Linked DNA regions of Neodiprion lecontei. The protein of the gene in region 1 purifies or fractionates together with the protein of each later gene. This does not show direct contact. Links are inferred from orthologs where the notes say so. Each region holds a gene or a part of one and is shown in the gene's direction. Other genes may lie near its edges. The genes, in order: syntaxin-17 and vesicle-associated membrane protein 7.

Region 1 (4,412 bases):
AAAATATCTCTTCGGGCCACCGACAACATGCTGCATATTGCATGTGTGTATCTTTGAATTGTGAGTGGTCAAGTGATGCTTAAGGACAAAGTCTTTGCCGCAAACTTGGCACTTAAACTCCCTCTCGCCGGTATGAACCTTTTTATGATTACGCAGGTGGACTCGCTGTCGAAACTCTTTGTTGCAAACGTCGCATTTAAAATCCTTGAAACCGGCATGAATTTTCATGTGGTAATTCAGGTGATCTTTCCTTGCGTACTCCTTGCTGCATAAAGGACATCGAAAACTCCTCTTCAACGAACTTATTTCCACACTGATATCGTCGCCACGATTCTTCACCCTCTCAGACAAAAGCGATATATTATGATCCAATCTACTGCTCGGCTCCTCATACAATTCCTCAGAGTGCTCCTCTTTCATCAATATCGTTGCGTAGAATTGCGGATTGTCCACTTCTTCTAATGCCAGCACCTCTTCCCCAACTAATCTGTTATCTGTCGCATCAAATTCGGTATCCATCGGAACCTTTGAAAATTAAAATGATGAATATCGCAGCGCTTGTGAATTTTTTGCTTCTATTTTAAAGTTAAAATACTTTCCAGCCCTATTTTTGCATGTATTGACATAGTTTCAGCAATTGCAGTATAAAATCGAATACCCACACATTGTTATTTGTGTGCAGAAAATATCAACAGAACGTGAAGTTTGGTTAAACTGTAATAACATGTAATTATATTTATTTATTACCGCACCACTTCAATTTCCGGGAATTCGACAAGCGGTTCTACTTTGATGCACCGGGAATTCATCGTCAGCCCCGAGCTGGTGATATCACATCAATTTCTTCATCACTTATTTCTATCTTCTACTTCTCTTTGTTCTTCTGTCTTTTATTTGACTATCAATTTCCAAGTCCGGAAGCCATTCACCAATTCAATTATATTTCGATTTTCTTGTCCCGATATAGAATGTTTTGACGTTTCTACTGTCAAAACATCACGATGCATAAACACATGTCAAAGTGTCTAACGGGCGAAAACTGGGTAACAAATACGCCGTTGCTAATGTCGCGCTCTCTTACATCTGCCGTCCGACCAATCCTAAGCGTTTAGTTTCCGTTCGATCCGTACGTGAATAACATGAAGTTAGCCGCCCGTGCTATCAGCGATCTCCTATTTCTCTCACCCTATCGATCAGGCGCGTAGCTCTAACTCCGTTTTATGGTGTTTTCAAATGGCTACACTGCGTGCAATTTATCCTTATTTTTCACTCAATAGCGAGGACGAAATCCTAGGGAAAATGCATTCGTGGGCACTCTGGCTCCCAGTTGAAAATGAAAACACCTCTAAGTGCGTTCCGAAATTAGCTGCCAGTGTACTATCAACAATCTATTACCTCTCTTGCGCTACTGAGTTCTTGAGTAGCTCTGCCCAGCCCCCTGACACTCGCCACTGCTCGCATACTAAAAAATTGTACGCGTTTTGTCCCCGTTTTTTAGTTCCTCTACGTAGCGCCAGTAGATTTCTGACACGCTCGCTGCCCTCGCTGACCGCGCGCAAGCGTGTCAGATAACTACTAGCGTCACTAGTGGTGGAAATTGGCGGCAGAATCGAGGAACATCTTGCGAACCACTTTTAGCAGCGTGTGTCAAGGGGCTGGCTCTGCCTCCATCCTAGGGATTTTACTGGTGCCAACTAGTTTCGGAACGCATCTTTTGACTCGACAGGGGTGCCTAACAATCGAATAAAGCCCGCAATATTTTTATTGTCCTACCAGCATCAAAAGGTAGATTTTTCTTCGCTAAAATTTAAAAACAAATACATAACCTAAAAAACTGCACAAGGAAGAAGGGCCTTGACCTGTTCAGTTCGATATAGCGGTCTCTCTCTTTTCTCAGTCTCTCTCTGTTGCCCATCTTAGCGACAGCAGCACTCCTATCGAATTTAACGCTAAAAATGTACTCCACTTTCATAGACCACGTTCCCAGTACAGCGTTCGGTCTCCTTCTCTCTAGTCTTCATGTCTAGGGGTGTACCTTGATACATACGCCAATGGAAAGAGAAATAACAAAGAAGAAAAACAACTTTCAGTGCGCCTGGTGCTAAAATCTGCAGTTTCAAGTAACTAGAAAGCAATAAAATCAAACCAACGAACTACGTCGTTTTGTGACTGAAAAGGATCAGCAATAAACAAGCGCTGTCAGACGATAATTTAGCAGCTAACGTCTTCTTGGGTTAAAACACGTAGGCAAACCATGTCGTTGCACAGTGAAACCGTAGGAAATAAGCAACCAATCAAACGGCTGGAAATACCAATTAGCAAATTCAATGACGTCGCAATACCACATCACTTAGGAATGCTCAGAAGACATAAGACTAATATCGCCAAGGTTGAATTTTTTTCATACATCGATAACCCAATCTCCCATCTGCCCGATATTTTGCTCATGAGAAGAAAAACGGCAGCTAACATGATCAGTAATCTTGATCATCATGGTCTTACTTTTTAGCTAAAACAAACCGGAGACTGGGACCGTATCTATAAAGAACAGACGAATGCTTCTCGTCTGGTCAAACAGCTTAAACAGTTATTGTACGAAATGGATGTTCTGCGAGGCCAAGTACAAGACAGCGATATCGCTAAGTTCGATCAACTCACAGCATACTCTAGAGCAAGTACAATGAATGCCATCAAAGAATATTTGGGTAAGCATTGAATAATTTTCGCATTGTTCAAATTTTTTGGACATCTGCTGACTGAAAACTAAAAACTAAAAAGTAAAGCAGATATTGTAAGATGGAAATGATTAAATTCTAGCCATGTTATAAATAATTTGTTTATTCTTCCATACTATTAATAATGATAATAATAATAATAACAGCAATAATAATAATAATAACAACAATACTCAGTTATCAATAATTGCAGCGCTGGACCTCAATCTGCCTACAATGAACCGTTTGTCAACCAAAGATGAAGATGAGGCCACAAACCACCCATTTCAGGATGGCAATATCCAACTGCACGCAGAAGAGAAAGAATTGGAAAGGCAGCAGGCCTGTCTGCATGCTTGGAACTCTCTGCAGGATGATATGATACAGCTGCATCAATTGTTCGTAGACTTTAATCAACTTGTTCACGTGAGTTTAACTTTTGAGAAATTTGCTTCTACTACTGTTTGAAAATTCTTTCAAATAATATTTCAACGTTTTGTTCAAACTTTCACAGGATCAAAAAGAGTTTGTAAACAGAATAGAAGAAAATACTGAAGAGACTGAAGTAAATGTCACGGAAGGTACAAAGTTCCTAGAGAAAGCAGGAAAATACAAAATAGCGGCATACCCAATAGCTGGGGCTCTAATTGGAACCTGTCTTGGAGGTCCAGTTGGTTTAATCGCTGGTTTAAAATTTGGTGGTCTCACGGCGATTGGTTGTGGGTTGTTAGGTAAAAGTTATTCGTGTAATGAAGTCGTCAATATCATTACAAGTTGTAATATCGCTTTTGTTTTTCTAATAGGTTTTACTGGAGGAACGCTTTTGAAGAAAAAAACTATAAAATCAAGTACGGAAAGCCAAGCAGAAAACAGACTTGAACGTGTTCATGGTTCTGATTTGCCGTCAGAAAATATAAAAGCTAGCAATAAACAACTTTGACCATTACAAGTTAAACGCAAAAAGTGTAAGTTGCATTGCTCCATGATGTAGAGGTGAAGGAACGGTTAAAAAGCAAGTAGCACCGTAAAATCCGCACTAAAAATAAAAAGGATATGAATACGGAACGAATATATGGCTTGATAATAAGATAGCCTTCCTCAAAATGTACCTAACTGTGATCTAAATTGTAATTAACCATGTACAAATATTTTACTAATTGAATAAAATCACTCGCTATTTTATACATTCAAATTCAGGACTATGCATAACGTCCAATCGGAGTCTCATTGAAATAAGTAAATAATTCTACCTAATTAATGTTCGGAATGCGGTTCCTTAAAAGCTTTGACGTACAAAATATTCCCGTACCTTCTGTCAAGGGGATGGTGGTGATGATGATCAAGACTTTTTTAATTCTGCGATCCAAGATAAATTCAATTTTCGCGGTTAACGGTGCAGGCTGTCAACCGTGACGACTGAAACAAGTGCCACTAGATGCTGCGACTCTACAGGTACAGTCGATTATAGAAACCACCAATTGAAACAACTGTGAACTTATTCAATTGTTAACCGTTAAGTTCAATCGTTGGTGCGTAGTTTGTTGTGTATATTTACGAAAAACCGACCTCGTGCTAGATCAGAGCCATTCGATGTGTCACATTGAATATATGTATTCATAGTCAATGAATTAAAATTGTTCCTTCTTTAAAAACTACCGCTCAATCCAGCAAATTGAACACAGAATACTGTTTTAAGGG
Region 2 (8,091 bases), on another chromosome or scaffold:
TGTCAGTCTTCACCGGAGACGTCAAAATCCAAACATCCACACCCCGAGGTGTGAAGCCGGGTTAAGGAGGAGCACGGCACTGCACTATCGGCGGTGGACGAAACAACGGGCTTGCATGAATGTGACTAACGAGTTACAAGCGGCGCATGTGACTTTGCGAACTGGCTAGCGTAATTTTACGCGGCGCCGAGGGACTCCTCAAGTTTCGGTCGGCTTAATAGCACGCGCCTACAGTTACTGGCGGTGGGAAAAATGTAGATCTACACGAGTTTACGCCGCGGGCCGGCCTGAAAGACTCGCGGCACCGTTATCTCGATATATGCGCTATCTGACGCACTGCGCTTATTTACGGCGCTCCCTGTTCTTACCAAGAGCAAAACATCGCTGCGTGCTACATAACTTAACCGCAGACATAGACACGCGTTGCGAAGTATCTTCCAGAGGTGAAAATTTCGTGAAATCCAGACACGTGAGGGATATACCATTTTAAAAGAAATAGATCGGTGTTAATTTGAAAAAAAAAAAAATATATACAACCGAGTACCGTAATTTTTTTGATTGAGGCAAAAACCTGATGAAATGGATTAATGCAAGTTATATATTATCTGCGCGCATTAAATTATTTTATGGACGCTGGGTATAATGTATCGCATGAATGATTTTAAACTTCGTTGTGATGACTTTTGCTCTAGTTTTGCATGTAGAACTCTGCCTGGTCGTCGGTACAGGTCAAATTAAAAAACGTCTAGAACGCGCAGTATTCAGGATGGCATATATCGTGTTTCTTATCGAAGCGATCCACCAATAAAAACACATGATTCGTGACATTTTGTCAAGACGCAGCGATGCAAATATTTGCGTTTAGGCAGAAGTACAAATATTAATCCTTACTCTAATAGAAAGCCAAAACGACAAAACCCGCGACGTATGACTCAAAAGATATTTCTATCAATTTCTTAGCAGCTCACAAACTTGTCGAAATATTTAAAAATTATTGCTGACGTGAATAAATTATCGATCCAAGGTCTGCAAGGATTACAAGAACTAAAATCACTAGTTGAAATAAGGTAATGTTTCAAATTTCTAATTTTCCATCCTCCCATGATGCTTTGAACCGAAGTAACTTACCTATCTAATGGCTGAAAATGATGCTATATTCTAAGGATACAGTCAATCCAAGTTTATAACTTTCTACACCTACGTCGCTGCAAACATTGTACTGGAAATCGAGTTCAGCCCTCGACTTAACGTCCTCAAAACAACAAATGTATGCACGTTACTGCAGTTCATACATTCCTTAAAAACATTCCAGTATTTCTACAATATGAATGCAGTATTACGCAAAAAAAATTCTGTCAGAGCTGTATTAGAAATATTTTACACAATATTTAGAAATATTTCAGTTACATTTAAAATTGAATCATTAGTCAAAAACTTCTCTAATATTCCTGAAACATTTGATGTAGTTTGGGACAAAATTCAGTTGGGAAACTTGGAACTATTAGATCGACATTTCACTCTCTGATATATATTACTGTAAAAGTATCGAACTTCACAACTTATAAATATTGCACAGAGGATTTGAAGTGTATTTACGAGGGTCTGATTTCAGGAGTTTCTGTAAAATGATTGTGCTACAGTGTCAGAAAAAGCGTTCTGATTCCTTATAGAACTGATTAAATATTGTACAAAATTTTAATCCATTTATTTTTCGCCCTGAGCAGCCTTTCGCTAGGTCTGAAAGAATATTTATGTTTGCCTATAAAAAACATAGATATATACATATAGCAAACTACACGATTAGTCATCGTCGGTGATAACACCGAACCTTCCAATATATAACGTATTTCCAAATGTGCGTACCGTGGGACATTTAACACAGGGTGATTCCGCCTGTATGACAGAGCAACAGCTCGAGACTGAAGTTTAAGAATAAAGAGTACATCGAATTGCCTGTATGCAGGCGGATACGTCGCGTAATGCATGTACCCTTAATTGCCTATATGCGGGCGAAATCACCGTAACTGGTGAATGACGCGTCGATAGCGCGCACTCTTGTGGCCAGAAAACAAAGCGGGTGACGTGAGTTTTCCTCCTTGAATGCCTGCTGACAGTGCTTGGCATGCTTGGTGCTTTGTTCGTTTTGTAGGTGGATGAGTGTGTTTTGACTCATTTGAACTTTGACGTAAATTTTCGTCGTTATCGAGTGATTAACCATCACCGTAAACCGATGCAATCTATAACTCGCGGTCAGCAACAAGTGCGCACATTGTCTTTGGTGTGGTCATTTACGGAGTAGAGAGCTGCCAGGCGAGGAAATATCCTCGAGAATTTCCGCATTCACAAATTAAGGTAGGTCATTGCCACTGTCTCTGGTTAGACGTGCCAGCGACTTGTCACTAACTTTCACAGCAGGCAGAGTTGATATTGAACCTCTCTGAGAATTCCTCACTAACGATGCGAGTGAGTCAGAATTGCTGTGCGATTTTCGTGGCGACAATGAAGTTGACTATATTGTTTTCCCAGGCTGACCGATAGATCGGCGAGCCATGATTCAAGGAAATGAAAAGTACATCGGATTAATGCAGGTTAAGAATACCGATGTCTTATCCAATTGACGACAAGTTTTCTTATCAATTTACAGAGAAAGAATGCCTATTCTATACAGTGTCGTGGCACGTGGGCCAACCGTGCTCGCCAAGCATGCGGCGCGCACTGGAAACTTTGCCGAAGTGACCGAACGGATTTTGGCTAAAATACCACCGCACAATGACAAGCTAACTTATACCCAAGGGCCGTACCTCTTCCACTACATGTGCGATAACAGGATTGTATACATGTGCATCACGGATGACGTGCGTAATGAGTATTTCCAAGAACTTTGACATAGCGCCCAGTACCCACTACTTGTGACAAAAATAACTTTTACTAACACGAAATACGAGTCAATCGGGAAAGGGGTTTTATCCAAAGCTGCGCAATTGTTTAAAAATTTAGAAACAAAGAAACAAAGCTGGTATCACCTCTGTAATGTAATTCCTTGAGATCTGGGAATGTCAATTCTAGCTTTCTCTGCGTTTCTTTCAATTCTGTTTTTAATAACCGATTGTTACAAGTATAAATGAACCAGAATATATAAAACGTACCTAGAATATCATATATTTTGTTTCCACTTTTGTTTACATCAACAGATGACGTTTGCATATAGGTCATTCTCACTTAAGAGGTAAATTGCTTATTGATAAAACGCGGCACGGTAAAATTTTTGAAAATTTAATTAAATTTTATAATGTTTCGATCAAAACAATCATTCTAAACGTGTCTGCAAGGCAGTCAGTCAATTTATTAATTTTATCTTGTTTTATAAGAAACCAGGGGAGAGACTTGATATACAGAGTAGGATACTTTGTGAACAGGGAAAGGATTTTAATGTTATTTTATGAAAGAAAACAACTTTTCTTTTGAGTATTAACTTTATTCTGTATAAAAAATTCAGTATAAAAAATTATAGTTTGAAGTTTTCATATCCCCCCTGGATATCGTGTCTTTCCCCTGGCCCTTAACAAGACAGGGGAGATATAAACAGGGGAGATATAAACAAGGGAGATACTTTTTAGTAACAAAAACAGAAATAATGACAAATGTATTTATTGTACGCGATTAACCAAGAAAACTTAGAATCTATACACTACAAGAAGTGAATATACAAATGAATTAAAATTTTTAGACGAATATTTTTAAAATAAAACTTACCAGTGCAGAGACTCCATTCACTCGTTCTCAACTGTATCCACAGAGTGTCAGTAATGAAATAAATGACAAAATGACTGCGCACCTAGTTCGAGTGGCGCTGATTACAAACTATAAACTCAACGACGTTCGTTCAAGGTCTTCAATTGCCGCAAGTCGGTAAACAAATGCCGATTTTACAGAAAAATAAGAATGACTGAGAATGACCCATATGTATCAGCTCATGGCCACGTTATATGTTCTCAGGCTATATGTAATCACAAAATAATTTACTTGAAGTTTTGCTCTGTGCACACCGGTTTTCTCTAAAATTAGTTCAACTACATAGATACGTAACTGAACTTAGAAGAAAAGTTTGCCAAAAAACTTTTATAGTGTAAGTTGCATGAATATTTGGTCAAATGAGAACGTTTCGTACTTTGATATGGACAAAGTTAAATATGCGAGGATGCACCTAAAATTAGTTGCTTCATCTCTTCTGGAATCTTAAAAAATGACACAGAAAAAGAAGAGTAAATTACAAGGTGGGTGGGGGCAAAAATGTAGAGCAATCAGCAAATCAAAAGTCTTCAATATCAAATTTTCAGAGTCAAAAATCTGTTTCGCTTGGACTGATAATATTCGATACATTTCTCAAAATGGTTTTTAATACTCTTGAAGAAAACTGTTTTTTAATCATTTTCCTTGGACAAACTATTACAAATTTCACAATTGTCGTCATAATAAAAGCAGTGAAACTTGATATTGCTCGTAATTTCATGGGTAATTATTTTATAAGCATCAGTTATCTACAATCAACAGATGGTATTGTCTGGATAATACGACATTTACCAATCTTAGTACAAATGCAAATGTTTCTGTTGATTAACTGATTGGTGACTTTGAATTTCAGGAATTTCAACGGTCGCGTGCCTTCTTATACTTGAATGAAATTAAGAGACGATTTGAAGCAGCTTATGGACATGGAGCTCAAACTGCTCTAGCCTATGCAATGAACTCTGAGTTTTCGAGGGTGCTGGCCAATGAAATGGTAAGTTATAAGTTTTCGAGTCCCGTGGAGAAAATTTTTGAGATCACAGCAGCGATTCAGCTTCTCTGAAAGATTGTGGTTTTTATGCACATACCAATAACTATGACAAAATTTCGGTGCAAAAATTGAAAGAACTTTGTTTCTTACTGTCAATTGAAAAAGGTGTAGAAAAAAACAGAAAACACTAAGTTTGACATCAATAAATCTTAGTTCTCAACTTGTTATAAATTTTTTAGTGAATATGCTACTTTTTTAAAATCTACTTTCATTACCTGCGACAACGCTCATTAAAACAGTTCATTTTCTTAACATTAAACAGAAACACTACAGCGAGTCCACAGATATCGATACACTATCCAAAGTGCATGGGGAACTTGATGAACTTAAAGACATTATGGTGAAGAATATCGATAACGTTGCGGCACGAGGGGAAAGACTAGAATTGCTCATAAACAAAACTGAGAATTTGACTGCTAGTGTAAGTTTCAATCCCTACTCTTATAAGTTATCTATAGGGCAATTCTTCTGGAAGGTATGATTAAAAAGCCGAGTTTCAACCGAATTTCATAACATGCAATATCTTGTTGCAGAAATGTCATTCTTGAGAAGTAATTGCCATTGAAAACTGAACTATCGACTTTGTTTAGTTTGATAGATTTATATATGCATATCATCTTCATCATTCCCACGAAAATCTTTAAAAAATCATACAAGAATTGGCAGCGCCACCAAGTAAACCATTACAGAAAATTTTTATTTTTTCAGTATTCTACAAATTGTTCCTCTCCATAGATAGTTTTTATTAAAAAAGTAAAATTTGCACTAATGACTAATTGACTAATCTTGCAGTCTGTGACGTTCAGGAAAACAAGCAGAAATCTGGCTCGTTCCCTTTTTTGGAAGAACATAAAGCTTTATGTGATAGTGGCTCTTGTTTTGATCGTACGTATAAATCTCAACAATTAGGCGTCTAATGTGTCACAAGGAATTCTACCAATCATACACATAAAAAGTATATTCTGCTCTTATTCAAACAGTTCATCATGCTTTACCCAAAACTTTACCTATGAGAAACCCTTGAGCTATGGATCGTTGGAGCCTTTGACTTAGGTCATATCCAAGGATCGTGAAGTTTTGCTTTGTTCATGAACCCACGTTACAAATTTTATATCTTGCAAAGTTACAAATGTTGATAAATAAAGTAAGAGAATTAAGAAATTCAGATTTACACTTAAAAGAACCAAAATTTTGCCTATCCATCGTTTGTTTCCTTCGTAAAATCAAACGTAAAATGTTTATCGAAAAGTAGAACAAAACTTTATCATCGGATACAAACTAAAATTTAACGCCGTAATTTTTCCCAAGTCGGAGGTATATTACTCTGCTTAAATAATTATGATAAATTTTAATAGATACAGTAAAATCAATTTTTTGATGCCGGGTCGTTATTTTTATGATTGATGAAATTCCCTGCATTTTATTTGAATTGAATGATTATAGCAGTATGTATTTATTATTTTTTTTATTCCAGGTTGTAATATACTTTGTTGTGGCAATGGCTTGTGGAGGTCTTGCATGGCAGAAGTGTGTCGGTAATTGAAGATATTTTAGACAATTCTAAATTTGGATTGTATGAAATCAGTGCCGGTATCCTTGACCAATGAATGAACATGTTAAGCGTTTTCGCAGACATTGGCCAAATTATTTAAGGTACTCAAACAATGAATCTGTTGCACTGTTTTTTGATGGAAATGTTTTCAAATCATGGCACACGGTAAGGTAGAAGGAAGGAGGAAGGATGGGAGGAGAGCGATATTTGGTATTGAACTAATTTATAAATTCAATCAATAAAAATACCTTTATATATTGTTTATCATCTTTATTTTTTTTATTTTTATTTGTTTTTTCTTCTATATCGTTATTGCATACTGTTAAGACGGATGCTGAATAATATCGTCGTAAAAGTTCAAAAGCATTACGTTTCGATCATTGGCCACAAGATTCTAGACTTATTGTGATATAACAACCATTTATTTTGTTTCTAAATAGTAAGAAATTTGAGTAACCGTGAATTTATCTCTTTCAACAATTGTTAATAGATAGTAAAGTGGAATAAAAAGTTGAACGGAAGAAATGAACTGGATACTTGTTCCCTTTTACAAAGTGGGGCAATAAAGGCATATTATCATGTAATGTACATACCTGTAGGTAATAACTGATTTTGTTAACTTCGAATTATTTTACTACTGTGATTATCATATCATAAGCATATATGCTCAAACATAAGTAACTACAGCCTGTATAAACATTATTTTAAGCTATATTTCACGTAGTACAGGGTGGTCGGTTTCAAATACCCCGTGCGAATATCTCGGAAAGGAAAAGAGATACAAAAAAAAGTTTCATACAAGACTTGTAGCGTTTCAAGAGATAAAGACGATGCTGATATAGGCCGGGATTTGAGGATTGTATCATTTTTTAGGTTTTGAAAATAACGTCTGATTTTGGTTAAGCAATAGGTATTTTGGATATAAGCAGCTGATACCAAGATCAAACACGAATTTAAGGACGCGAAATTTTTTTTGCCGTATTTTCTCCCTTTTTTCACCTCATCTTCCGTGCGTATTCATTGACCCTCAACCCTCACTGCAAAAACTGACCACCATGTGTACCCACCTAAATTATATTTGACTACTCCGCTGCATTATACTCTCAAATGAATCGTAATAAAAATATTATTCGTCATTACACAGAACTTGTCGTCGCTCTTTCGAACGTATAACTTTGGTTAACGAATCCCAAAATTGATCCCACATATACCGTCGTAATGATCAAAAGTTATTGAAATTTTCTGTGGAATTGTTGGGGACAAAAAATAGAAATGAAAAACAATAATTTGAAATGAATCAGTATTTCTCATATAAATAAATAAATACGTGCATACCTAAAACATCATCGCGGAGGAACTTACTATAAGTACGCTATAAAAAATTATCGCAATTTTTTGTTATAAACTCACACACAATGACATTATCTATCACTTCTGTTGAAACTAAGCCTATTGCCATGTTCCAGAAAACTGACATAAACGGTGAAAAAGGTAGCAGCCGTAATAGGCGATGAAAATTTCTCAATTACTTGCGAAGATTCAGTTAAAGAACGAAAAGAAATCGTGAGTAATAGTCCGGTCTTAGGTCATATTCTAATTTTGCTTCAGTCTGTTGGCTTCGAGATATTGGATTTTTCTGCCTGACATTGTTCCATATTGGTAAAGTTATAAACTTAGATCGAGTTATGTTGGAGATTAAATT

What was found.
Region 2: the proteins of syntaxin-17 (region 1) and vesicle-associated membrane protein 7 purify together in Drosophila melanogaster (affinity purification with western blotting; 4 studies listed by BioGRID, with this or other methods). This does not show direct contact. The link is inferred for Neodiprion lecontei from reciprocal best matches to the Drosophila melanogaster genes Syx17 and Vamp7.

What each region holds. Positions count from the first base shown.
Region 1 is NC_060261.1:5,329,963-5,334,374, forward strand, and holds syntaxin-17, read left to right. Parts: upstream 1-2,017; 5' UTR 2,018-2,254; coding exon 2,255-2,389; intron 2,390-2,509; coding exon 2,510-2,705; intron 2,706-2,928; coding exon 2,929-3,140; intron 3,141-3,228; coding exon 3,229-3,445; intron 3,446-3,517; coding exon 3,518-3,654; 3' UTR 3,655-3,906; downstream 3,907-4,412. Other genes in the region: gastrula zinc finger protein XlCGF8.2DB, read right to left, coding at 1-525, 753-809.
Region 2 is NC_060263.1:22,132,133-22,140,223, forward strand, and holds vesicle-associated membrane protein 7, read left to right. Parts: upstream 1-2,081; 5' UTR 2,082-2,352; intron 2,353-2,526; 5' UTR 2,527-2,549; coding exon 2,550-2,569; intron 2,570-2,644; coding exon 2,645-2,855; intron 2,856-4,642; coding exon 4,643-4,780; intron 4,781-5,099; coding exon 5,100-5,258; intron 5,259-5,629; coding exon 5,630-5,722; intron 5,723-6,311; coding exon 6,312-6,380; 3' UTR 6,381-7,535; downstream 7,536-8,091.